7 linked regions of the Canis lupus familiaris genome follow. The protein of the gene in region 7 binds, or shares a complex with, the protein of the main gene of each other region. Links are inferred from orthologs where the notes say so. Each region holds a gene or a part of one and is shown on either strand. Other genes may lie near its edges.

The links.
Region 1: SF3B2 (region 7) and HTATSF1 share a complex: the UniProt entries of both Homo sapiens proteins name them as parts of the 17S U2 SnRNP complex. The link is inferred for Canis lupus familiaris from reciprocal best matches to the Homo sapiens genes SF3B2 and HTATSF1.
Region 2: SF3B2 (region 7) and SNRNP40 share a complex: the UniProt entries of both Homo sapiens proteins name them as parts of the minor spliceosome. The link is inferred for Canis lupus familiaris from reciprocal best matches to the Homo sapiens genes SF3B2 and SNRNP40.
Region 3: SF3B2 (region 7) and small nuclear ribonucleoprotein E-like share a complex: the UniProt entries of both Homo sapiens proteins name them as parts of the minor spliceosome. The link is inferred for Canis lupus familiaris from reciprocal best matches to the Homo sapiens genes SF3B2 and SNRPE.
Region 4: SF3B2 (region 7) and SCNM1 share a complex: the UniProt entries of both Homo sapiens proteins name them as parts of the minor spliceosome. The link is inferred for Canis lupus familiaris from reciprocal best matches to the Homo sapiens genes SF3B2 and SCNM1.
Region 5: SF3B2 (region 7) and SF3A2 share a complex: the UniProt entries of both Homo sapiens proteins name them as parts of the 17S U2 SnRNP complex. The link is inferred for Canis lupus familiaris from reciprocal best matches to the Homo sapiens genes SF3B2 and SF3A2.
Region 6: SF3B2 (region 7) and SF3B5 share a complex: the UniProt entries of both Homo sapiens proteins name them as parts of the SF3B subcomplex of the 17S U2 SnRNP complex. The link is inferred for Canis lupus familiaris from reciprocal best matches to the Homo sapiens genes SF3B2 and SF3B5.

The regions. Positions count from the first base shown.
Region 1 is NC_049260.1:107,807,800-107,811,299, reverse strand, and holds part of HTATSF1 (HIV Tat-specific factor 1), read right to left. Parts: intron 2,838-3,500; coding exon 2,674-2,837; intron 1,579-2,673; coding exon 1,479-1,578; intron 1-1,478. UniProt on the Homo sapiens protein: Component of the 17S U2 SnRNP complex of the spliceosome, a large ribonucleoprotein complex that removes introns from transcribed pre-mRNAs.
Region 2 is NC_049223.1:69,116,098-69,120,380, forward strand, and holds the start of SNRNP40 (U5 small nuclear ribonucleoprotein 40 kDa protein), read left to right. Parts: upstream 1-1,483; 5' UTR 1,484-1,538; coding exon 1,539-1,682; intron 1,683-1,858; exon of another isoform or gene 1,859-1,997; intron 1,998-3,901; coding exon 3,902-4,031; intron 4,032-4,283. UniProt on the Homo sapiens protein: Required for pre-mRNA splicing as component of the activated spliceosome. Component of the U5 small nuclear ribonucleoprotein (snRNP) complex and the U4/U6-U5 tri-snRNP complex, building blocks of the spliceosome.
Region 3 is NC_049222.1:93,813,111-93,815,404, reverse strand, and holds small nuclear ribonucleoprotein E-like, read right to left. Parts: upstream 961-2,294; 5' UTR 942-960; coding exon 663-941; 3' UTR 501-662; downstream 1-500. UniProt on the Homo sapiens protein: Plays a role in pre-mRNA splicing as a core component of the spliceosomal U1, U2, U4 and U5 small nuclear ribonucleoproteins (snRNPs), the building blocks of the spliceosome.
Region 4 is NC_049238.1:60,887,577-60,891,750, reverse strand, and holds SCNM1 (sodium channel modifier 1), read right to left. Parts: upstream 2,801-4,174; 5' UTR 2,657-2,800; coding exon 2,606-2,656; intron 2,395-2,605; coding exon 2,324-2,394; intron 2,091-2,323; coding exon 2,002-2,090; intron 1,927-2,001; coding exon 1,829-1,926; intron 1,708-1,828; coding exon 1,619-1,707; intron 982-1,618; coding exon 787-981; coding exon of another isoform or gene 643-786; coding exon 543-642; 3' UTR 482-542; downstream 1-481. Other genes in the region: TMOD4 (tropomodulin-4), read left to right, coding at 641-804; LYSMD1 (lysM and putative peptidoglycan-binding domain-containing protein 1), read left to right, coding at 3,537-3,716. UniProt on the Homo sapiens protein: As a component of the minor spliceosome, involved in the splicing of U12-type introns in pre-mRNAs. Plays a role in the regulation of primary cilia length and Hedgehog signaling.
Region 5 is NC_049241.1:57,268,151-57,272,382, forward strand, and holds the start of SF3A2 (splicing factor 3A subunit 2), read right to left. Parts: upstream 2,801-4,232; 5' UTR 2,705-2,800; coding exon of another isoform or gene 2,611-2,704; 5' UTR 2,362-2,610; exon of another isoform or gene 2,254-2,361; intron 2,187-2,253; exon of another isoform or gene 2,020-2,186; intron 1,804-2,019; exon of another isoform or gene 1,700-1,803; intron 1-1,699. Other genes in the region: PLEKHJ1 (pleckstrin homology domain-containing family J member 1), read left to right, coding at 2,611-2,704, 2,801-2,868, 3,323-3,389, 3,940-4,030, 4,102-4,165. UniProt on the Homo sapiens protein: Component of the 17S U2 SnRNP complex of the spliceosome, a large ribonucleoprotein complex that removes introns from transcribed pre-mRNAs.
Region 6 is NC_049222.1:35,794,967-35,797,524, forward strand, and holds SF3B5 (splicing factor 3B subunit 5), read right to left. Parts: upstream 1,246-2,558; 5' UTR 1,112-1,245; coding exon 851-1,111; 3' UTR 501-850; downstream 1-500. UniProt on the Homo sapiens protein: Component of the 17S U2 SnRNP complex of the spliceosome, a large ribonucleoprotein complex that removes introns from transcribed pre-mRNAs.
Region 7 is NC_049239.1:51,700,026-51,702,513, reverse strand, and holds the end of SF3B2 (splicing factor 3B subunit 2), read left to right. Parts: intron 1-1,035; coding exon 1,036-1,135; intron 1,136-1,221; coding exon 1,222-1,407; intron 1,408-1,746; coding exon 1,747-1,818; 3' UTR 1,819-1,988; downstream 1,989-2,488. UniProt on the Homo sapiens protein: Component of the 17S U2 SnRNP complex of the spliceosome, a large ribonucleoprotein complex that removes introns from transcribed pre-mRNAs.

The sequences.
Region 1 (3,500 bases), on a different chromosome or scaffold from region 7:
GAGAAACTAAGTCTGCACAATGTGATGGCCAGATTCAAATTAGGTGGCTCAATGAGCAAGGCAAGAAGCAAAACACAAAAACAGATGTAATTACACAACAGACTTCTACTCACAGAGGTTCCAGACAATTTGAATTAAGTTTGCATTAATATTCACATTCAAGTGTTAAGAATATGGAATGCATGCATCAAACCAAGGACATGAAGTCATAGACATTAATAGGTCATGTAATTTTAAAAAGCCATTTAATATTTAAATGAGATGAACTCTAAGAAATTGGGAGCCATACCTAATAGATAGGGATACCCTGGGGTCCATCTAAATTCCTTTCAAATCTCTATTTGGCAGGGGAACGGTTTCAAAAAGTGTTTCAAGATGAGTCAGGATTCTACTCAGTAGAAACATCAAATGTTACAAATTGACCACATGTATCTCCCCAGTGATCTCAAAAGATGCACAGACCATATGGGTGCACAGCAAACTCTACCACATGACTCTGGGCTGGGATGGAGCTCAACAGACCATAGGGGGTTCTCTCCAAGGGGGCTACAGTGAAACTGCCATGCTCACTGTTTCAATGCACAGGAGTGAGAAAGGTCTTTGGTTGCACCTAGATCATTTGTAAATCTGGAGTTTCACAGTATGAACCTTCTTTGTTGTTGTGTGACTTGTTATTTTTATGTTTACTTATGTTGACTTGTGGTCTTTATCTATCTTGTGTGTAACTGGTTGTCATTAATTTCAGATTCCAGGGAGAGGAGAAAGACCTGATGCCACACAAGTGCCGTCTGTGGTTTGGATAAAAGACTAGCCCCAAGGACAAGAGGCAGACCAGCGCAAGGTGCCCCGGCGGCATGCTATACCTTGCACACCTCTTGCACCTGTCCAGCTCTTCTTCACTCTGTTCACTTTTGTTCGCTGTTCTTAGAATTTTACCTGGACACTAAGTATTTATAAAGTCCCCCTAATAGCCACAAAAGCATTGTATGAACGTCAGGTCTCGAAAAACCACCTTTAGTATTTAAACACCAGGAGCTGTCTTTCATTAACCTGAGGGTTTTTTTGTTTTGTTTTAAGGATCAAATTTGTGGTACCAAAGTGAAGTTCTCATTTGCCAAGTATAAAATGACTCCCCGCCCAAACCGGCCTGTGCTTGTTGAAATGCACTCAAAATCCATAAGCAGCGCCCAGAAATCTTTCAGTGATTATATTTTTAATGATTTCCCAGAGTAAGTAGCTGCTGTTTACAGCTGCAGTGTGGGTGTTAAGCAGTGTTCCCTGGGGGACAACTAAAAGAACCCTAGGCTGAATGTGGGAAAATTTAAACATTTTGATACACTCTTAGCTCTATTTTCCTACCTTGACAACTACATGGAGGGGTGGTATGTGACATGTGAAAACATGGGGTGAAGCAAGCTTGGGACTCCCTTGAAAGAAAACACATCAGTGTTTCCATCAGTGGGAATATCACCTCCTACCTCAAAATCCATCGGATGAAACATATTTTTGATGATGACAACTCGCTCATGGCGCATTCGAGATGGGCCAGCTCTTCTCTCAGGTCTCCAGTCCAACTGCCTAATGCAATAGAGCAGGAACAAGATACTGAATTTTGTTTCATACTTGCAGGACAGAAAAAAAGGAGTTGTTACAATCAACCTTTATTTGAGTATATAGTGATGCTAATTATTCGATTCTAAAATAACAATATGTATTTCTGGAGAACTTTCGGAAGTAAAACTAATGGGCAGGTGAAAGATGGACCCAGTGTCTGAAATTCCCAGAATGTATCTTTTTTCAGGGCTGCTGTCTGGTTACAAATGTTCCAGTAAGATTCCTGTAAAGAGCCAATTATTTAATATTTATGACTATCTGGTATCTACGCCTACACTTTGAGGGCAAAAAATACATTCTACTTGTATTGGTTTTGAGGCATTTTATGATTATAAGGACCAAACTACATTGAAATATGTAAAACTACTGTTACATAACCAAAAATTTTATTGCTAGGTGTTTATAAAATTGGTAGGTATCTAGCCTATTCCTGTAAAAACTATAGGATATCACAACTCAACTCCTTTATCAGCACTGTTATCATTAAGTTGAGTGCAGTGTTAGAAGTGTTATTAGAACTCACTGTGATAGAAGAAAATACTTATCATTTCAGCCAACTTCTTAAAACCAGCATACTTCAAAAAACCCATTGACATGAATGGATTAGTAGACATTTGATGATGTTTACTGTACACACCGTGTACAACCCTATCAAATACAGTCATAAAAGCTGCTGTTTCTAACTCCTACTGATGAGCCTACACAGACGCCTTAGCTCCTGGCGTAGCTGATGTCAATTCACATTAGAAATGAACTAATGGCTCTGGTAAACAAGCTTCAACTATTTTATTTAACTTCATGTTCAACTTCTTCCAGAGATGGCCCTCTCATCTCATTGAAGCCCGGTTTATATTACAAATTAACACTCCAGGAAATAGACATGCTGCCACTGCCAGATCATCCTGCAGTAGAGATGACTGAAGGTTTCTGATGATCTAATGAAATTCTTTGAAAATAACTTCTGCATACATTTGATGGAACACAACTAAGGAGCTACACCCAAAACATAGTCTAGGATATGTAAATGAAATCATTCAAAAAGCGAAAATCAACACAAACTTCTGTTGCAGAGACAGCTTTTTCTTGTAGTCTTTGCACTTCTTCTTCTTCTTTGAGGCATCATACTCTCCCTTCAGTTGAAACTTGGCCACTTCGACATGCAATTTGTAGCCTCTAATTTCATCTTCGTCCAGAAGCTTTAACGCGAGATCCACAGATTCCCTCTTTATAAAAAGGTAAAATGAGATAGAATTTCCATGCTGAAATGAAACTTGGGGAGGTTTTTTAGGCAAACGATGACTATATGGACAATAAAGATTTCATCACAACTACCTCCTTTGAGATAAAGAACTCTAGGCTGCCTTATCAGGAAACCTGCACTCTAGAAACAGCTGTCCTCAACCAGTTTTGTGAACTTGGGCAAGTTATTCAATTTCTTCATCTGTAAAATGGGAAGAAAAATGCCTTCTTTGCAGGGTTCTTGACAAAATCAAATGAAAGAACGCACATAAAGGATAGGGACTGGCATATAGAAGGTACTTAAACTGCATTATTATTGGAATAAGAGTATTACCTCTTGGGAGTCTCAATTTCTCAATGAGGCAAATGGACTTGTGTGACTTTTAAGGTACAGTTTTATTTATTTATTTATTTTTAAAAATGTATTTATTTATTCATGAGAGACACACACAGAGGCAGAGACATAGGCAGAGGGAGAAGCAGGCTTCATGTAGGGAGCCCAATGCGGGACTTGATCCTGGGACTCTGGGACCCCGCCCTGAGCTGAAGGCAGACACTCAACTACTGAGCCACCCAGGCATCCCTACGGTACAGTTTTAAAATTCTCAAGTACTACTACTTAAAAGACTACATGACTCAAGGAACTG
Region 2 (4,283 bases), on a different chromosome or scaffold from region 7:
GCATCTGTCCAGTTCTCTGTAGTTGTACCAATACCTCAGTCCTCATTGCTATATCTCTCACCTAAATGGTCGATCTGCATCTATCTCTCCTCCAATCTGTTTATGCTACTGAGTGATCAAGCCACCACCTGTCCCATCACACCACTCTCTCCCCCCACCAAAACAAAAACAAAACAAACAAACAAACAAAAAGCTCGGTCGTTTCCCATCAGTCCTGAAGTAAAAATCCTGCACCTCTACCCACCTCCAGCTGCATCCTGTACCAGACCCTCCTTCATTCCCTCTGAAGTAGCCATAGTGGCCTCTTTCTGCCGTTCAGTCATTTTCCTCCCATTTGCCGCAGGGCCCCTGCACATGTTGTTCTATATGGAACGCTCTGCCTTTCTCCCTTGACCCAAATAATTACAATTCTTCCTTCAGGTATCAGTTCGGGCATCTTTTCCTCACAGAGGCTTTTCTGCTTATTGCAGACACTCATAACATCAGGCACCTCTCCTAGGCAGCACGTATTTTAAAGCTCTTAGTGAGATCACTGTTTAACATGCTTGCCCTCAATATTCAAATATTTGAATTGTTTGTTTGTTTTTAATTTATTTATTCATGAGAGACGGGGGGGGGGGTGCAGAGACACAAGCAGAGGAAGAAGCAGGCTCCATGGAGGGGGCCCGACGTGGGACCATCTTTGGTTCACAATGTATCCTCTCAGGGCTCTTTCCAATAAACACCAGTTGGACAATTAAGGAGACCTAGTTCCCAGATATGATTCCGAATTTCTCCACAGGACTGTGCTCTGGAGAAGCAGCAGTCGGATACTCCTCTCATCCCTGTCTCTCCCAGAGGCACTGAGCAGGCCCTCGTAAAAGGCTGCATGACCAGTGGCAGAAACAAGCCGGCCTCCTCAGTCAGAGAGAGGAGCCTGGTGGAGCTGGGAGACAGGCCCTTCCTCCCTGGGGGCGTTCGGCACAGGCACAGGGCTGGACACGGCAGGCGCTGGACGAACGAGTCGGCGGACGAGGGCCCCGGGCGGCCGCAGAGACCCCAAAGCCCTGCTCCAGCCTAGAAGGGGAACCCAGGCTGCTACGCGCCGACGCTGGGACCCCGGGGCCCGCCTCAGGCCCCTGCAAACCTTCAGCTGAGAAGAGCCAGGCTCACGTCACACAACCGAGGCGCCGTCTCTAGATGCCGCAGCCACCCACCCTCGACCTTCCTTCCACTTACTCTGGGTCAGCTCCCGGTCTCCCGGCCGCAGCATTGCGCGAAACGCCAAAACCAGACAACGCTTCCACCCACAAGACCCAGCGCGCCTAGGTGGGACTCCAGCTCCACCCACCAATCCCAGCACCGCACTCCCGTGACGCCAGAAAGAACTGACCAATAAAAGAAGAGTATTCAGGGAGGCGGTGCAGAGGGGATTGCTGCAGACCGATTGGTTACTCCAAGCCGGAAGTTCTGGGGGAAGAACTAAGTCGGAACCAATCGCGCGCTGCCTGAGGGTGTCGGCGCGGTCAGTGGCGGCGCTGAGGAGAGCGGTTGCCGCCATGATAGAACAGCAAAAGCGCAAAGGCCCGGAGTTGCCACTGGTCCCAGTCAAGCGGCAGCGGCATGAGCTGCTGTTGGGAGCGGCGGGGTCGGGCCCCGGAGCTGGGCAGCAGCAGACGGCGCCGGGAGCTTTGCTACAAGCGGTAAGTGGAGTCGCGGGCGGCCCTCGGGCCTCAGCTCATCTTCCCCTCAGGGAGCCCGCCCCCGGTGATCCCGCAGTGCGGGGTAGGAACGGGAATAGCTGCCTGCAGTTCACACAGGAAACACTGTAAAAGCGGTCGACACCCCCCCTGCCCCCCCGGGACGCTCCGCTCGTTACCTGGTTGGACGCCCGCTTTCAGCGTCTCGACCACCCTGGGAGGTGGCGTTACATTTAGCGTTAAGGACCTTGAAGTCAAAACCCGCACCGGGGCTTTTTCGTATTAAATCTTCCACAGGGACCCAGCGTGGAGTAAACATTCAGAAAACTTTGTAGAACGGCTGAAAAAAATGAATGAATGAATGAATGAATGAATGAGGAGAGAAAGGAAACGAATGAGCCCGGCTTGCTTTGGTCAAGATGCCCGCCCCCCCCCCCCCCCCCCCCATGTCTCAGCACTAGTACTGTTACTAACAACAACGGAACGAGAGCTGACCTTCATTTAATACCTGTCCTAAGGGCTTTGTGTATGAAAACCCCATTAATCTTGGTAACAGCTTAAGAGTTAGGAACTCTCAGTGCCCTGTTTTGTAAGCTCTTAACCCGGTAAGTGATAGGAAACGGTTTTAAAGCCGAATCCATGCTCTTAACTGCATTTCTTGTAAGATGGAGGTAATAACGATCACCCCTCTGCTGGGCTGGTAGGCTCCGATCAAGAAGTAAACGTCTCCACTCTCAACCTCTCCACCAGCCGGTGAGCAAATCCTGCTGGCACACCGTCCTCAAAATAGATGCCAAATTGCTAATCCTTGTGCCACCTCCATCACTCGCCCCTGGTCTAAGCCGTTATTTTTCTCATCTGGCATTATTGTAGTGAGGTCCTAACTGGTATTTCCTGTTTCTATTCTTTTATGGTCCATCTATTCTCAGTCCAGTGGCTAGAGAATCCTGCTAAAGGTCAGCTCGTGTTACCCTCTGCTGAAAACTTTTGATGGCTTTCCATTTCACCCAGGGTTAAATCCTTACAATCCTTAAAATCTTTTGCCCATTTTCCCTTTACCTCTCAGATCTACCAATTTTCCATTACTCCCCCTGCTCCAGTCACACTGGCTTCCATGCTCTTGCCTCAAAGCCTTTGCATTTGCTGCACTCAACTGGAATGCTCTTCAAAATATCCACGTGGTTTACACACTCAGATCCTCCAAATCTTTGTTCAGATATCACTTTTTCAGTAAGGGCCTTCCTGACTACCCTGTTTTAAATTGCAATACCCCATATGTATTAATCCACATCGCTTTTTTTCTTCCGTAGCACATACCAACCTGCTATATGTTTTGTTTTCTCTCTTCGTCTCTTCTCTTCCTCCTTTCCACGGGAACACAAACTCCATTGTTTATTTTGTTCAGTACTGTTTTCCCAACGCCTAAAACAGTGCCTGGCACGTTAATTTTTTTTTTTTTTTAAATAAATGAGTAAACTGAAAGCTATTAAGGATGTTTGGGGATTATCAATAGTGTACCAGGTCTTCTCTCTGACCGGAATGTCAGCCCAGGTTCCAGTGAATTGTCCAAGCCTAGGTTTAGTGTCAAGACCATAGTCAAAACTACTTTCCTGGGTAATATGTACCTTGCAGGGTTGTTGGGAAGCTCAGTTCAGGCATTAATTAAATGTGCTAGAGACTGGGAAAAGTGTTGAATGCAGGGTCCCTGCAGTCACAAAGCTGCTTTTCTACCGGGGAAGAGGACAAAATGTGTAAACCAATACAAAGGAAGGTGATTTCAGGTAGTCTTAAGTGCTGTGAGGAAATACAGTAGGATTAATGGAATACAGAGGGGAGGTGTGATGCTGCTTTGAGTTTGAGTGATCAATGAAAGACTTTCTGAAGAGGAAACATTTGGAAAGAGCTAAACACAGGACGATCAAGGGAAGAGGATTCCGATCAGGAGCAAGAAGTGTAAAGATCCTGAGACAGAAATGAGCTTAGCATATTTGAGCAATTTAAAGTTGGCTATGGGACAGAAGGAGCCTGAGGGAGTAGTCAGTATAACTGGTAGACACTGGACACTTGAGTAGGAGGGTATCAAATTGGAGGCCTAAGTTAATGTGAGAAGAGTTACCATTCTCTAAATCAGGAGAAATCTACTCAATGATTGTTTACCGTGTCTTTTGTAGTCTCCTTTGCCTGTATGTAGTAACTACCCTGTACTTCTGTCTTTTGTTTAGGGACCTCCAAGGTGTTCCTCCCTTCAAGCGCCAATCATGCTTCTCTCAGGACATGAAGGGGAAGTGTACTGCTGCAAGTTTCATCCCAATGGATCCACCTTAGCATCTGCAGGCTTTGATCGACTGATATGTAAGAGATAGTTTTTGAAGTTGGGATAATCACTCTCTGCTAAATAGTGATTATTTTTTAAAACCTTTAGTGCCACAGAGTGTATCAGTCTGGATTATTCGCATTACAAACTGCATAGCTAAAACAGTGTAAGGAGAATGTTGAATGATCTTGAATATAGACCTCAAGATCCATGTGGTAAATACAGAGGAGATTATGTTACTAGTTGAAAAGTGAGTTGCTCTTCTTTGAGAATATCTTCCTCATGGAGGC
Region 3 (2,294 bases), on a different chromosome or scaffold from region 7:
ATTATGCTGAACGAAACAACTCAGACAGAAAAAGACAAATACTATATGATTTCACTTATGTGTGGAACTAAAAAAACAAAATGAAGGAACAAACAAAACAGAAACAGACTCATAGATACAGAGAACAAACTGGTGGTTGTCAAAGGGGGTTTAGGGGGATGGGCAAAATGGGTAAAAGGGAGTAAGAAGTACAGACTTCTTGTTATGGAATGAATAAGTCAAGGGAATGAAAAGTACAGGGTAGGGAATACAATCAATGATATTGTAATTGGGTTGTGTGGTGGCAGATGGTAGTTACACTTTCGGTAAGTATAGCATAATATGTAGACTTGTCAAATACTATGTTGTACACCTAAAACTACTATAACATTGTGTATCAACTTCAATTAAAACACACACACATGCACGCATGCACGTACACACACACACACACACACACACACACAGATTGTTGGGCCTCATCCCCAGAGTTTCTTTTTTTTTCTTTTTTTTTTTTTTTTAATAAAAACAATCCCACAGCATTTATTGTCCTCTGGTAAGAACATAAAGGTAATCAAAACAATATGAACAAGGGTTTTAGAACTATATTCCCAACAAAGGACATCTAAAAAAACAAACTACGTGGCCTTCTCAAGAATTTCTCACTTCACTGATCATTCATTCTAGTTGGAGACACTTTGGAGCAGGGTAATATTATCTCCTTTTAGCATGATCCGACCCAGTTGTTTTCTTGACTTTGTTTTAGAATGAATCTCTTTGGCATCGTCTAATACAAGGCTCATGTACTCATCAAAACCAATGATACAGCCCTCTATCCGCATGTTTATTTGCTCATAAAGCCACACCTGAATCCGAGATCTATTTTGCAAGTATCTGAAGATGAGGTTGATGGGCTGAACCATCACCTTCTGCACTTTCTGGCCCTGGCCACGGTACGCCATGGTGGAAGCGGACCCCAGAGTTTCTTTAATACATCTGCAACAAGGCCTAAGAATTTACATTTCTTTTTTTTTTTTAGGATTTATTTATTTATTTGTTTATTTGTTTATTTATTTATTTGAGAGAGAGAGAACACATGAGTGGGAGGGAGAGGGAGAAAGAATCTAAAGCAGACTCCCCACTGAGCATGGAGCCCCAACACAGGGCTTACTTAATTTCATGATTGCAAGAACATGACCTGAACCAAAACCAAGAATCAGATGCTCAACTGACTGAGCCACCCAGGTGCCCCAGAATTTATATTTCTAACAACTTCTGAGGTGGTGTCAATGCTTCTGGCTTAAGGATCACTCTTTGAGAAACTTAAGAAACAAACAAAAATGTATGGGATGCCTTCCTGTGTACCTACATACACCTGATTGGAGCTGCAGAATAAGAGAAGAAAGAGAAAGGGGCAGAAAGAATATTTGAAAACATAGTGAGCAGATCTTTCCAAATTTGATGAAATACATAAATCTACACATCCAAGTTATTATAGTCCCTATGTAGAATTGGCTCCTGCAGATGAGAACTCTGTCCTGGCTGACACCTTCATTACAATCTTGTGTGGCCCTGTAGCATAGCACCAAGCTTGGCCATCCCTAAATGCCTGCCCACAGAAACCGTGAGATAATGAGTATGTGTTCAAGCCACTAAGTGTATGGTTATTTGTTACCCAGCTACAGAAAATTAATACACTAGTCTGTCTGGCTCCTGCAGTCTATGCTCCTTGTCCCTTTCCTGATTAGTTAAACATATCATGAAAGGCAGTAACTGAGGAGTTGGTAGAGATTATAGACTTTCAGAGTTCCAAGAAACTCACAGGGCACTAGTCCAGCACCTCTAAGACATGCAGATCCCCTTCCTCAAGGGAACATCTAAGAAAATAGGGATATTGGGGATCCCTGGGTGGCTCAGCAGTTTAGCACCTGCCTTCGGCCCAGGGTGTGATCCTGGAGACCTGGGATCGAGTCCCTCATCAGGCTCCCTGCATGGAGCCTGCTTCTCCCTCAGCCTGTGTCTCTGCCTCTCTCTTCCTGTGTCTCTCATGAATAAATGAATGGAATCTTTTTTTTAATTAATTAATTAATTTATTTATTTATTTATTGGAATCTTTTTTAAAAAAAGAAGAAGATTGGGATATTGAACTATAAGATGGTGATCTGAGTCCCAATAACATTGAGATGATGACTAGGGATAACTACAAGTAGTGCTTTTAAATATTTTTTATGGCTGAGTGAAGTAAGTTAGTCGGAGAAGGACAAACATTATATGTTCTCATTCATGTGGGGAATATAAATAATAGTGAAAGGGAA
Region 4 (4,174 bases), on a different chromosome or scaffold from region 7:
CAGATACGGGTAGGGCCCCTGGTGTCTAACTACAACTTCATGTGATCTGAAGGAGGAAAGAACTTTGAGTGAAGGTGGGGAAGAAGGCAGACAACAAAAAAAAAAAAAAAAAAAAAAAAGAAGGCAGACAACATGAAGGGCAAAGACCTCCTTCTGACAGACTTATTAATAGGGCATTGGGCTGCATGCAGCTGACGCTTGGCAGTACTTTGGTTGAAGGTGGGGGAGGGGTCAGAAGTATGGGGAGCTGTGTACATTTCAGGGAAGAATGGGCCTGGCTGTCCTGAAATGGGGGACACCTGAAATGGGTGGCTTGGTTGGTTAATCAGAGTTTGACTCTTGATCTCAGCTCAGGTCTTGATCTCAGGGTCATGAGTTCAAGCTCTACATTGGGCTCCACATTGGGTGTGTAGCCTACTTAAAAAAAAAAAAAAAAATCCACCAGTGAAATCCTGAAATGGGGCAAGGAAGTAGACTTGAAGAAAGTTAGACTCCTGGAGCCTGCTGAAATTTATTTGTGAACTGAGGGGGAAAAGAGGGTATCAGTCTAAGGAAAGGTCAGGAGGTTCCTCTTCATCAGAGTCAAACTCAACATTCTCATCTTTTACCCATCGACCTTGTCCATCTGGGATCCATCCAGAGCTGCAAATAACAGAAAATAGAATAAATCAGGAAAAGAGGTTTAAGAAGTTAATGGGGATAAGAGAAAAACAATTGAGAAGGATTGAAATAAGAAAACTCAGAAAGAAAAGAGAAAACTTGAAGAAAGTGATTCTGCATACAAACCTTCGAAGGGTGAGGTAATGATCCAGGGCTCGTTTCCTCGTGGGGCTCATGGGCACAGGGGATGAGACAGTTGCTGACTCCTTGGCCTGTGGGCCAGCTCCAGGCATGGGTTCCTTAGTGATCTTCCCACTCTCAGGCTCAACCTCTGGGGGTGGTAAAGGGGGATGGGAGACAGAGGGACGAGGGGTTTCTGGTCTAGGTAGAGAAGAATCAACGTCTATAAAAGTAGTAAAGGAAAAAGGCCAATTCTCCTATGACTCCCAATCCCTTACAGAAGTGTTTCCTAAACTGTGTTCCTCAAGATATTAGTAAATGTCTTGCATAAAAAAAAGAATTTTGGAATCATATGAATTTTTAAAAGGCTAGTATAACATTTTGAGGGTTTTTTTTTTTTAATCTTTAGACTTTGTAGAGCCCTTCGAATATATTAATATTACTACTCTTCAAGTAGGATCACAAAGTGCCATTTCCTGGGGCACCTGGGTGACTCAGTGGTTGAGTGTCTGCCTTCGGCTCAGGTCATGATCCCGGGGTCCTGGGATTGAATCCTGCATTGGGCTCTCCACAGGGAGCCTGCTTCTCCCTCTGCCTATGTCTCTGCCTCTCTCTGTCTCTCATGAATAAATCAGTAAAATCTTTAGAACAAAAACCAAAGTGCCGTTTCCTAAACTTAAAAAAAAAAAAAAAAAGCAACATTCTCTTTTTTTTCTGAAATATCAGTAAACATCTCTGGAGTATTAATATTCCTGAGAATACAATTTGTAATACCTTTATCTTAGAGCCATCTATCTCCTCTGACCCGCCCTACCTCTGGCTTTCCCACCCCACAGACCTGTGCTTCCTGCGGCAGCAACTGTTATAGTGAGGAGCTCTGTGCAGAGCACTCTGGGTGGTAAGTCGGGTCTGCGTTAACAGAGGAGCCTGGTGTGGAGATGGGAAACACAGTCAGTGTCTTCAGAGCTAGAAAGAAGTCGAAGCCCTTCAAGCCTAAGATGTGCAGCAGGCCCACCCAAAACACACCCTCCCCTCCCTGATTACCTACCTCAGCCTTGATCTCTGACTGCCTCAATTCATTCTGCTGTCTTGGATTCTGCTCCATTCCCTTTACTGGCTGCTTCTTGCCATAGAAAAGCTGCAGGCCTGAAGGTAGAGGGGAAGAGAATTAAAAACAAAACCGCAAGAGTGATCTGCAGAGATTTGTCTTCCCTCACTTACTGGACAGATGTTTCTTGCCTGCACGGTGGGCAGTCAGCATGGCCAGGGTGTCCAGTACAGGTCGGTGGGGACAGATAGCACAAGCGAAGCTGGAGAGGAGGGTAGAAGATATTCGGTGCCAGGTGAGTGGGGTCTGGTTCCACCTGGACCTAGCAACCCTTTCCAAAACCAAACTCTAGGGTCTCCCAATTTCCACCACCCACATCCCTGTCCCTCATCCCCCATCAGAAAATCCTAGATACTCCCGCTCCCCCCTTGATAACAAAATTATACGAAGCCTATAACCGCAGCACCCTCGGGCTTGATCACCCCTCGCCCTCACCGTCCATCCCGTAGCATGAGCGCTTCATCCTCTGGGATATAACTGGCCAGCAGGTCCCCGACTCTCCGTTTCTGCAGGGGGTAGCCGGACGGGACCAGTGGGAGAGGAGGGAGGGGTCAAAGATTGAAAGGCAAAAAGGACCATGAGAACAGAGATCACTGGGCGAAGAAGGGGTCACTACCCAGCTCTGGTCGCGCCGGCCCCGCAGCTGTTGCCAGAGCAACAAAACAGCTCCTTCACGGGGCAGTGAAACTGTTCCCGATGCTCCCCTCTCGCGCTTACTTTGAGCACATTGAGTTGACTCGAATCATCCCCTTCCCTCTTGAAAGACATTACGACTGAGCTCCAGAAGCGAACAATTCTCCCGAGCCGCCTCGGCCACTCCTCTCAGGCCACCGTAGCGAGAGTAAGGCGTCTTCTCCCGTCGGGTTTCTTTCCGGTTGGCCTCCTTACTTCCCTAGATGCACAGCGCTCGCGGAAAGCCCGCCCACAGCCTGCGGAGCCGACCGCACTGCCCACGCGACCCGGCGACCCCGCAGGCGCGGGGCGTTTTGGGAAATGAAGTCTTTTTTTCAAAGGGCTTGCCACCCAGCTGGCTCCCGGCCCTTGCATCTTGGCTGATTCGAGGCGTCTGGGGAGACAAGAACTTAAATGTGGAGACCGACGTTGAGGCCGTGACGGATTTGCTGAGGAGCGGGCCTTGGAAGATCTCTGAGTGGAACGTGTAGTACAAACTCTCGCGGTCCTCACGCGCCTCCCTGGCCGCCGACAGCCCACCAGGAGGGGGCTGGATTTATTCCTGACACAAGCCGACCAACCCGGGACGAGGCGGGGCCGGGGTGTGAAGGGAACCTGGGAGGCGGAGGCTGCCTGACCTGGGGGAGAGGGGCGAGCTGAGCGGAGTGTGGAGGGTAACTACGGTTCAAAGGTCAGAGTTCATAGTGGTGGGAGGGTTGAAAGTCAGCGGGGTGCTAATAAGGAGAGACTCTGGTAGGGACTGGATCCTCGGGATACAGATTCGTGGGAAGGCGCCTGGGAAGCGGGACAAACGAGAGCCGCGGGGGCGCGAAGTGCCGGGGCAGACGGGGGTTTGTGAGAGGAGACGGGGGAAAGGAACCCCCTGGATAGACGTCCCTCGCCCCCAGCCCCGTGGCTGTCGGCACTTAGCCAGGCCTCCCTCACTTGCAACCCCAGCTGCCGGCGGGGTGAGGAGATGGCTTCGTCCTCTAGACAGGCCCCCCTCGGGGGGTCAGGACTGCTACAGGGGAGCCGGGCTCGTTCTTACGGAAGCCTGGTGCAGTCAGCCTGCTCCCCGGTGAGGGAAAGACGCCTGGAGCATCAGCTGGCCCCCGGAGACACCCTGGCTGGACTCGCACTGAAATACGGGGTGACGGTGAGTCTTCCATGGTAGGGATGCAGACAACCACTCAGAAGAGATTATTCCTCATTAGAATGTAATGACCCGGCTAGGCAACTTCCCCTGAAATTTCCTAATTGTGTTGTGGTCTGACCCACCTTTATCTTTTTGTTCTCCCATCTCAGTGTTGCCTTGTCTGGTTGGGACAGACCCTGTGCCACTATCCGGGTGGAGAGGAGCTGCTTCTATTTATGCCAGTCTCTATTCTAGAGGTTTTACATACATTGGCCCATTTGGTTCTCCCATCCCCGTCAAGCATACGTTTGTTTACAGATGAAGAAACAGACTTAGATTGGTTAACCAATTTGACCAAGGTCAAATAACCAATGAGCATTAGAGTGGGAATTCAAACAGATCTGACTCCAAAGCTCGTAATATTAACCACATGGAAACTTTTTAATTGCAAGTGATTAAACATTTACAGCAAACAGTGG
Region 5 (4,232 bases), on a different chromosome or scaffold from region 7:
CCAGTTTGGCTGGGACCCAGGGGCCAGGACAGAGACATGCCCTCACTTCCTGTCACCTGTTCTAGCAGTGACATCTCCAGAACACCCCACTGACCCAGCGGTGGGGAGCCAGTAAGAGCCATAAGACTGACTTGGAAAGTAATGTGTTAACAAAGCCAGGAGATCCCCCCCCCCACCCCATCTGGTGAGGATTCCAGTTCCTTGTTAAGCCATCAGATAAGCCCCTCAAATGCTAGTGGCTGGCTGGGGCAAAGGCAACACGGGTGTTGCAAAAAGGGTCCACGTTTAGAGTGACGGGCTCAGGAAGACGGAACGCAAACACTGAGCTGGTCACCAAGTTAAAGGGAAGCAGTAGCCACTGGAGACCCAAGGTGCCAGTTGCTTGTAGCCCACTGCAGAGTGTTCCTGGCCTCCCCAGGGGAGGTCATCCCCTACAGGAGCCCAGGGGCCCTCACCCGACTGCCTGGGTAGGTTTTACAGTCTCAGAAGAACTGAACAAAGGGCCGCTCCACTTAGAGGGGCAGGCACAGAGGGAGAGAGTTGGAGAGCCAGGGAGTGGAGTGAGGGCCAGGCTGTAAAGAAGGAATTCCATGAACACCTGCCCTGCCCCTGCAGCTTGCCCAGAGGGTCCACCTGGAGGTCCCCAATCCAGGGACACAGTGAGAGCACGCTAGAAACGGTATTCTCAGACACTGACAGTGGGAGTCCCCTGCACCCCCAAAGAAACCTAGGCCTGTCTGGTTTCCTAGGCCTGCTGGGCAGTGAGACTCGCTAGGTTAGAGTCTGGGAACTCAAACACAGACACATCCGCTAGCCACCCCCCACCCCCCCAGGCAATGTTAGCATCCTCCTTAATTAGAGGGTGAGAGGGGGGATCCCTGGGTGGCTCAGCGGTCAGGGCGTGATCCTGGAGTCCCGGGATCGAGTCTCACGTCGGGCTCCCGGCACATGGAGCCTGCTTCTCCCTCTCCTCTGCCTTTGTCTCTGCCTCTCTCTCTATATATATATCTATCATAAATAAATAAAAATTAAAACAAAACAAAACAAAACAGGGTGAGAGTTACTACACCTCCAATGCAGAGCACGGCACCAAAGGTTAGCAAGGGCAGTTAAAACCCAAACCCAAGACCTTTGGAAACAGCTGAACTTAAGAGCTTGCGGGTACAAGTCAAACCAACCTTTTACAAAGAAACGCAAAACAGGGGGGAAAGTAAGAGAACAGGACTTAGATGAAATTTCAGAGCGAGAACAGCAAGAAGCATGGAAGGCATCCTCAAAGAAATCTGAAAGCATTCCCAAAGAAAGGGAAACAGCCCGGGCCCGGGGCTTGAGAGAATCTCATTGTTCGGACGGAAAAAAGGACAGAGACCCCCGTGGACAGAGACCATCGGGAGGCGCGGGTGGCTCAGGTCGTGACCCCAGGGTCCCGGGCTCCCCGCTCAGCAGTCAGCCTGCTTCTCCCTCTCCTCCCCCTGCTTGTACTCTACCTCCCCCTCTCTAATAAACAAATACAAATCTTTTTTTTTTTTTTAAAGATTGTATTTATTCATGAGAGACACACAGAGAGAGGCAGACACAGGCAGAGGAGCAGCAGGCCCCCTGCGCGGAGCCCGATGGGGGATTCGATCCCGGGACCCCGGGGTCACGCCCTGGGCCGCCTGGGGGCCCCAAGAGGGATGCTCAGTCTAGAGCTTGTTACCCTAAATTCTCAGCACGCACGTTCGCGGACAACCGAAGTCAACGTCAGCCCCGGGACGCCAGGGCGCGGGCCCGTCGCGGGCGCCCCCTCGGCCTCCCCCCCCCCCCCGACCCGCCGCCAGGGACCCCACGGCGCCGCCGGGCCCCGACCCGACCCGCACACTTCCGAGGAGGCGGGACTCGTCGGGCCCGACCCCGCGCGCGGCCAGGGAGCTGGGGCCCGGCGGCGCCGCGAACCCGAGAGCCCCCCGCCCCCCGCCGCTCCCGTCCGGGGAAGCCAGGGCCCCGGGACCGCCGCGCTCGGCCAGCCCGGATCCTCACCCCGCGCGACTCCTCACCCCGCGCCCGCCGCTGCCACGAAGACGTTATGCGCAGGCGCGTCGCGGGCTACAGAAGCGCTTCCGGGGGCAAACGGTGGGGTCTGGGGAGAGGGGTGAGGGCTTCCCGTGTGCGCATGCGTGCTTCGCCAGGCGAGGCGGACCTGATGCTCGAGAGGGCGAGGAAAGGGGGCGGGGCTGGGAATAAGGGCCGGAACTCGGGAGTGCGCGTGCGCACCAGGCTCTCCACGCCTAGCGGGCGCCGGGCCGGTTTCCGCGGGAGGGCGGGCGTGGGCTCGTCGGTAGAGGGCGCCACGGTCGTGAGGCTGCCTTCCTGGGTTCCCACCTCGGATCCAGCTGACTGCGTGGTTATTTATAACGGCCGTCCGTGTCGGCCGGTATCGCGTGCTCCCCCACGCGGGCCTGGCTTAGCGCCGCGCGCCGGCCAACACCACAATGCGTGTCTCGGGGCCGCGCAAGCGCAGTGGCCGCGACGGCGCTTCCGGGACGGCACTGTAGGACTTTTTTGGCGCGAGAGGGGACGGCGGCCGGGAGGGCGCGGCCCGCGCTCCGCGTTTTGGGTCCTGGCAGCGCCATGCGCTACAACGAGAAGGAGCTGCAGGCGCTGTCCCGGCAGCCGGCCGAACTGGCGGCCGAGCTGGGCATGCGAGGCCCCAAGAAAGGCAGTGGTGAGCGGGCCGGAGCGCCGGGCGGGCGGGCGGGCGGGCTGGCCGGGCGGGGGTGGGTGGCGGCCGAGCCCGCGTGAGCCCGCCCTGTGCCCGCAGTGCTGAAGCGGCGGCTGGTGAAGCTGGTGGTCAACTTCCTCTTCTACTTCCGGACGGACGAGGCCGAGGTAGGCCGACGGGCGGGGGTCGGGGCCGGGAAGAGAGCGGGGGCCCGGGGGGCGGGGAGGGCGGGGCCGGGGGAGGGGCCGGGGGCGGGGCCGGGACAGGTGTCGGGGCCGGGAAGGGAGCGGGGCCTGGCGGGGGGAGGGGAGGGCGGGGCCGGGGGGCGGGGCCGGGACAGGTGTCGGGGCCGGGGAGGGAGGGGGGCCTGGGGGGGGGGAGGGGAGGGCGGGGCCGGGGGAGGGGCCGGGACAGGTGTCGGGGCCGGGAAGGGAGGGGGCCTGGGGGGGAGGGGAGGGAGGGGCCGGGGGCGGGGCCCGGACAGGAGTCGGGGCGGGGGGAGGGGCCGGGAGCGGGGCCCGGACAGGTGTGGGGGGGGGCGCGCCGGGCGGGCTTTGGGGTCCGGCGGGGGCGGGGGCCCGGGTCCCCACGAGGCCGGTCCCCACTCGCCCCCTCCCGCAGCCCGTCGGAGCCCTGCTGCTGGAGCGCTGCAGAATCACCCAGGAAGAGCCCAGCGGCTTCTCCATCTGTGAGTGCCGCGCCCGCCCTGCCCCTTCGGCCCGGCCGCGGGTCTGCGCGGAGACAAAGTCCACCCTTCCCTCGGGCTGCCGGGGTGCAGCTCCTCTAGGACCTTGTCTCCTGTTGGGCAGTGCTGCACTGGGCTGCCGGGCCCTGCTGTGGGCGCCCTGGGGCTGGAGAAGTGACGTCATTGGGCCTGCGGGGGATCCTTGTCGGGGAGGTTGTCCCAGGCGAGCCTGGCTTCCGGGGTGGCCGGCAGCTGGCAGCGCCCTTGCCTCTGCAGAAGGACTCCTAGGGTGTTCGTGTCCCCCCTTCATGTTCTCGGGGACGTCCTGTGCCGCCTATTCTCCCCTGACTTATTAAGTAGCCGCACTCTGAAGGGTTCTGTATCTGGGCCACAGGCTCTAGGGTTAGGACTGGAACTACTGTGTGGGGGGCACCATTCAGTCCACTCAGCCGCTGGGAGTCGTCTTGGCCTGGAGGAAGGTGGAGGCCCGTGGGGGGGCTTCGGAGGGGGCGGCGGGCAGTGAGATGGGACAGACAGACCGCTCCCTCCGCAGGCTTCATGGAGGACCCAGAGAGGAAGTACCACTTTGAGTGCTGCAGTGAGGAGCAGTGTCAGGAGTGGATGGGGGCTCTGCGTCGAGCCAGGTGAGGTGTGGGCCTGCCCAGGGGCTGGGGAGGGGGGGGCCTGAGTGAGCACATTCCACTTTCTCCCCCAGCTACGAGTTCATGCGGAGAAGCCTCATATTCTACAGGAATGAGATCCAGAAGATGACTGGCAAGGTGCGCAGGGGGCAGGGGGCAGGGGGCCGGGCAGCGGCCTCTGGGGCCCCGGCTCATGCTGCTGGTT
Region 6 (2,558 bases), on a different chromosome or scaffold from region 7:
TTATGCCTACAATTTGTGTGCCCCCCCAAGTATAACATAAGCTCCAAAAGCGAGGCAAAATGCCCACCACATAGAACTGACTCAACAAGTATTTGTTGAATGCCGAATGAATGAAAGAACTCGTCTGACAGCCTGTCGTTTTTCAGGATGTGTCCAGAATCCCAAGAGAAAGAGACGATGCAACTTACATAGAGGAGTGGGCAATGCTAGTAAAGATTTTTCTGAATGCAAGAACATGAAAGAGGGATACAGTGATCATAAACCTTAATCCTCAGTCCTGAAGGCATTATGGGCCTGAAAAAAGCTCTTGGGAGAAGTCTGGGTTGGGGAATATTATAAAGATCGTGCAAGGCGGATTTAACTGTATGCCAATGAACGCTGGCCCTGTGCTCAACTCCTCCACCCATCCATCTCCCGCCTCTTCGGTCTCCCAAGAAACTAAAGTCCCCAAAGCCCTCCTTGGACCCCCTTCCACTCAAACGCAAGTGGTCCACACCAAGTGATTGAAAAACTTCTAGACTTTATGGAAAAAGAAACGACAATCAACTAGCCAAAAAAGAGCCTCCAAATCCCGTCTGATCCCAGTTCCTTCCCCCCTCTCTTGCTGGTTTAGGACCTCTCCACCGTCTCAGTTCTCACGGGTCCTGACAGTCTCCCAACGCTGTTCCTAAGGGTCCACAGGAAAGCAGGTCAGGCGGGACGGCCTCAGCTAAGCACTTGTGCACGAGGAAGGCGCGAGAAACAGGAGCAATGGAGAACCGGTCCACTTCGGGGCAGGAACACGCGGGAGAAACGGCAAACGGGAGGAACTCGGGACACGCTCCCGCGTGGCAGTGACGAGACGGGGGTGTCAGTTCTCCTCCGGCTTGTCGGCTGGCGGTCCGCAAGGCTGCAGCATCTTCTCCATCAAGTTGAAGCGGACTCGCGCTTTGCTCTCATTCTCCGCAATGGCGAAGTAGTTGAGAAGGTCGAAGTGGCCCATGTAGGAGCAGTAGGAGTCGCGGTGCTGGTTTACCAGCCACTCCCACTTGGTGGTGTCGGCGTGGCCCGTGCCGATGTACTTGGACTGCAGGTGCTCCAGCTGGCTGTGGATAGTGTAGCGGTCAGTCATCTCGCCGCTTTCCCTTCGCGCCCAGGTCAGACGCCGCAGAGGAGAAGCTGCTCTAGACTTCCACGCGGGAGAGAGCCCACGACACGGCACCTCCCGGCCGGCTCAGTCGCAGGAGAATGACGTCACAGCCACGGAGCCGCGAGGACTCGCGGTCCTAGCGCTCAGAGGAGGAAGCGGAAGTGTATTCCGTCAGGGAATTGGAGTTGCCTAGGCGACGCTACCAGTCGGCCGCCCACCCCCCGCCCCCGCCATGGAGAGCTCCGCCCCCTCCGTAGAGCGTTGCATCATGGTTCATTCAGTGGCCCTTGCTCTAGCGCGGAGCGTTGCATGCCGGGAGCTGCGGTCGCCGAGGGTTCGTGCGCGCCCGCCTCCCTGGGCGGTCGTCGCGGTTTAAGAGCCCGCCGGCGCCTGGTGGAGCGTCGTGTCGGGGAGGCGGGGAGCATCCCTGGGCGGCTGGGAGCTGCGAAGAAATGGGGAGCTGCCACAGGCCGCCGTGAGAGTAACCTCGGTGTAACTTTGGTTTCGGAGCGAATGTGGCGGCGTGGTGGGCCCCGTCACGGCCCGGGGTGGGTCACCCTGAGAATCGGTCGACGCGACTGCGGCTCCCAGCTGTGCGTCTTCCTTCAGCGCTGGCGGGGCCGCCGTTTCCCGCCCGGTGCCCGAGGACCCTACGGGCGCCGACACGTTCGGGCGCCGACACGTTCGGGCTCCCACACCGAGCCCCGCCCCCCCCGCCCCCCCCCGCCCCCCGGCGCTCCAGCTGCTTCATTTGATGTCCTGCCTCCAGCTGCTCGCCCCACCCTACGCACCCCAGCCTGTGTGTCTCAGCATTCCGTGCCGCTCGCCTCTCCAGTTCTTTGTACTAGATGTTCCCTCCGCTTGGAATGCTTTTGTTCCCTTGGCAAACAACTTCTCTCTTTAAGTCAGCTCAAAAGCATCTCCTTGAAATCGGCTTTGGCCACACCAGACAGACGTAAAGTCTCCTGTACATCGCTTCATTATGATCGCCTTATAGCCTACGCTTTGGGTTCTTTTTTTTTTTTTTTTTTTCTGAGAACTCCCTCGTGTGAATTCAAACTACTTGGGGGAAAGTAGCGTATACTTTTTTGATGCCATCATTTATCATAGCTTCTTTTGTGGCATCTTTTTTGTGATAACCACACTTGCGATACTTGGCCTGGTAGAGCTCGCATTCTCAAAAAACGTTTGATGAATGGATGAACAACTGTGGCAGCAAATAGAAGGGACTCTTTAGTGGGAGAAAGATGACTTTAAAATAGTTCTGTTCTGCAGTTAGGTACAGATGAGTAAGTCTAGAGATCTAATGTACACACAGCATGATGATTGAAGTTAATCCTGTATTGAATATTAGAAATTTGCCAAGAGAGTGGATTTCAGGACGTGTTGATTAGCTCAACTGTAGCGATCATTTCATTATGCATATCCA
Region 7 (2,488 bases):
ACTCTCCTCTGTTACCTGATGTCCAGTGACTTGAAGACCTTTGTTTCATGTGTTTTGCCCATTTTTTTGGTCATGTCAGGTGGGAGGGTAAATCTGGTCCCTGTTACCCCTTCTGCAGAAGTCTCAGGCTTTGCATATTTAGGAAAGAAAGAAAAGAACGGTCCTGTGATTGGAGACAAGGATTAGGTAAGGGGACCAGGTTATGAACCCTGTCATGTAAGGAGGTTGGGTTTATTCAAATAATCATAAGCCTCAGGATTTTTTTTTTAAGATTTATTTATTTACTTATGATAGAGAGAGAGAGAGAGAGAGACACAGGAGGAGGGAGGAGTAGGCTCCATGCTGGGAGCCTGACGTGGGACTCGATCCCGGGACTCCAGGATCGCGCCCTGGGCCAAAGGCAGGCACTAAACCGCTGAGCCACCCAGGGATTCCCAGAAGCCTCAGGATTTTGAACAAAGGACCTGAACTGTTTTAAGGTGTTCACTCTGGCTGCTACATGAGAATAAATTGTTACCTGTTTCAGGGTGAGAGGTGGGGCGAGGTCTAGGTTGATATTGGTGGATTTGCTCTTTTGTGTTTTGTGTGGAATCCTTGAAATACATGGGGAGAGTGGCTCAGATGGTTCTTACGCCATAGGAAGTACTGGGAGTTTGAGTTCTCTATTTTAGAGCTCTGGGTAAAACTTTGGGTAGGAGCTTTTGTAGTCTCCTTTCTCCTGCCATCTTCTCTGTACCACAGTTCTTTCAGAAACTTTCAGCCTGACCCTTAGCCCTTCTTTACGTGTGGGAATCTTGTTCTCTGATCTTCTAAACTTGCTTCTGGAGATCCTTTAACTCAGTCCCCATATTCCTTCCAGGCTGTATTTCCTGCACTGAGCACCTACCCACTCCTTGCTTCTCATGGGCCTCCACGACCTGCAGAGGCAGTCTAGGCATTGTTTATCCTCTGGAAGCTAGGTGGAGGTGCTGCTTGTATGCTCTTTGCTTCCCCTTCTGGAGGCCTTTTAGGGCCTGACCTCATTGTCCTTTGCAGAAGTGAGACACCTCAGCTGTTCACTGTGTTGCCAGAGAAGAGAACGGCCACTGTTGGGGGAGCCATGATGGGATCAACCCACATCTATGACATGTCCACGGTGAGCACTTTTGGGGGCTGGGAAAGGGGGCGGAAACAAAGTCTTCTAAGTCTCTCTCTAGATGACAAGATTGATCCCTTTGCTAGGTTATGAGTCGGAAGGGCCCAGCTCCCGAGCTACAAGGTGTGGAAGTGGCCCTGGCACCTGAAGAGTTGGAGCTGGATCCCATGGCCATGACCCAAAAGTATGAGGAGCATGTGCGGGAGCAGCAGGCACAGGTGGAGAAAGAAGACTTCAGTGACATGGTGGCCGAGCATGCTGCCAAACAGAAGGTAGGAGGTCATGGGAACCCAGCTGGGTGTGAGCCAGGGAGTAGATACCAGGGACTCCTTTTTCAGCGACGTCGTGTCCTTGAATATGAGAATGAGGGTGCACTCAGTGTCTGCTGCCCTGAGCTTCCCTGGTGCTGGAAACCTTAGAAATCCTCTGGTGGGCTGCCCTCTTTAAGATGATGAAACTAAGGCACAGGGAGGGGAACTCACCCAAGTCTGAGACTCCAGTTTTAGCACTGTTTCCATAGATCTATGGGGCTGAGTCAGGTTGCCCATCCTTGTCTTGGGGATCATTGGTGGCTTTACCTGTTGTAACCTGTTTCTCTTTCTTTCTTCTAGCAAAAGAAACGGAAAGCTCAGCCCCAGGACAGCCGTGGGGGCAGCAAGAAATATAAGGAGTTCAAATTTTAGGTCTCCCTCACACACCTGGCCTCCTTTAGGCCTTTTGGATGCTTGGGCTTCACACATGGTCCCCAAGAGCCAGCTCTCCCACAATTCCCAAGGGCTTGTCATTTCATGTTCTTATTTTAGACCTGTTTTGTAAATAAAACTGTTTCCCACGGAAAGAGATGCATATGCAACACTTCTGATCCTCCTTTGTCTTTTAACCACCTTGTGCAAAAGGACTAAAACAGGCTTTTTCTGCAACTTCAGGGCTGCTCCAGTGACCAAGGGCATGCACCTGGATCAGATGCTGCAGTTGAGACTGGTGATAAAGTGAAAGCCATGCTGAAATTGTGCCTCACCACTGCCTGTTTTTCTAAGAGGGCTCTCGGGGAAGTACCTCTAGGCCTGGTTTGACCTTACTGCTTTGTCCTTGGAGACTAAAAATAGCCAGCTTAGCACCCTGGCTGGGCTGAGGAAGTGCAGTGGGCTTGGGAAGTAGGCCAGGTCAGGCCTTCCTATAGACCTATGGTCAAAAGAGTCCCAAGTCCATACCTTGGGGAGAACACAGCTCCATATCTAGATTGTCCTGAGTCCATATGAACCCCTGAATAGTTTAAGTCACTAACTTGGGGGGGCGGGGAAGGCTTGCTTTCTTCAAGTTGTCTGGTCCCAAGAAGTCTTCCCAACAGGCTAC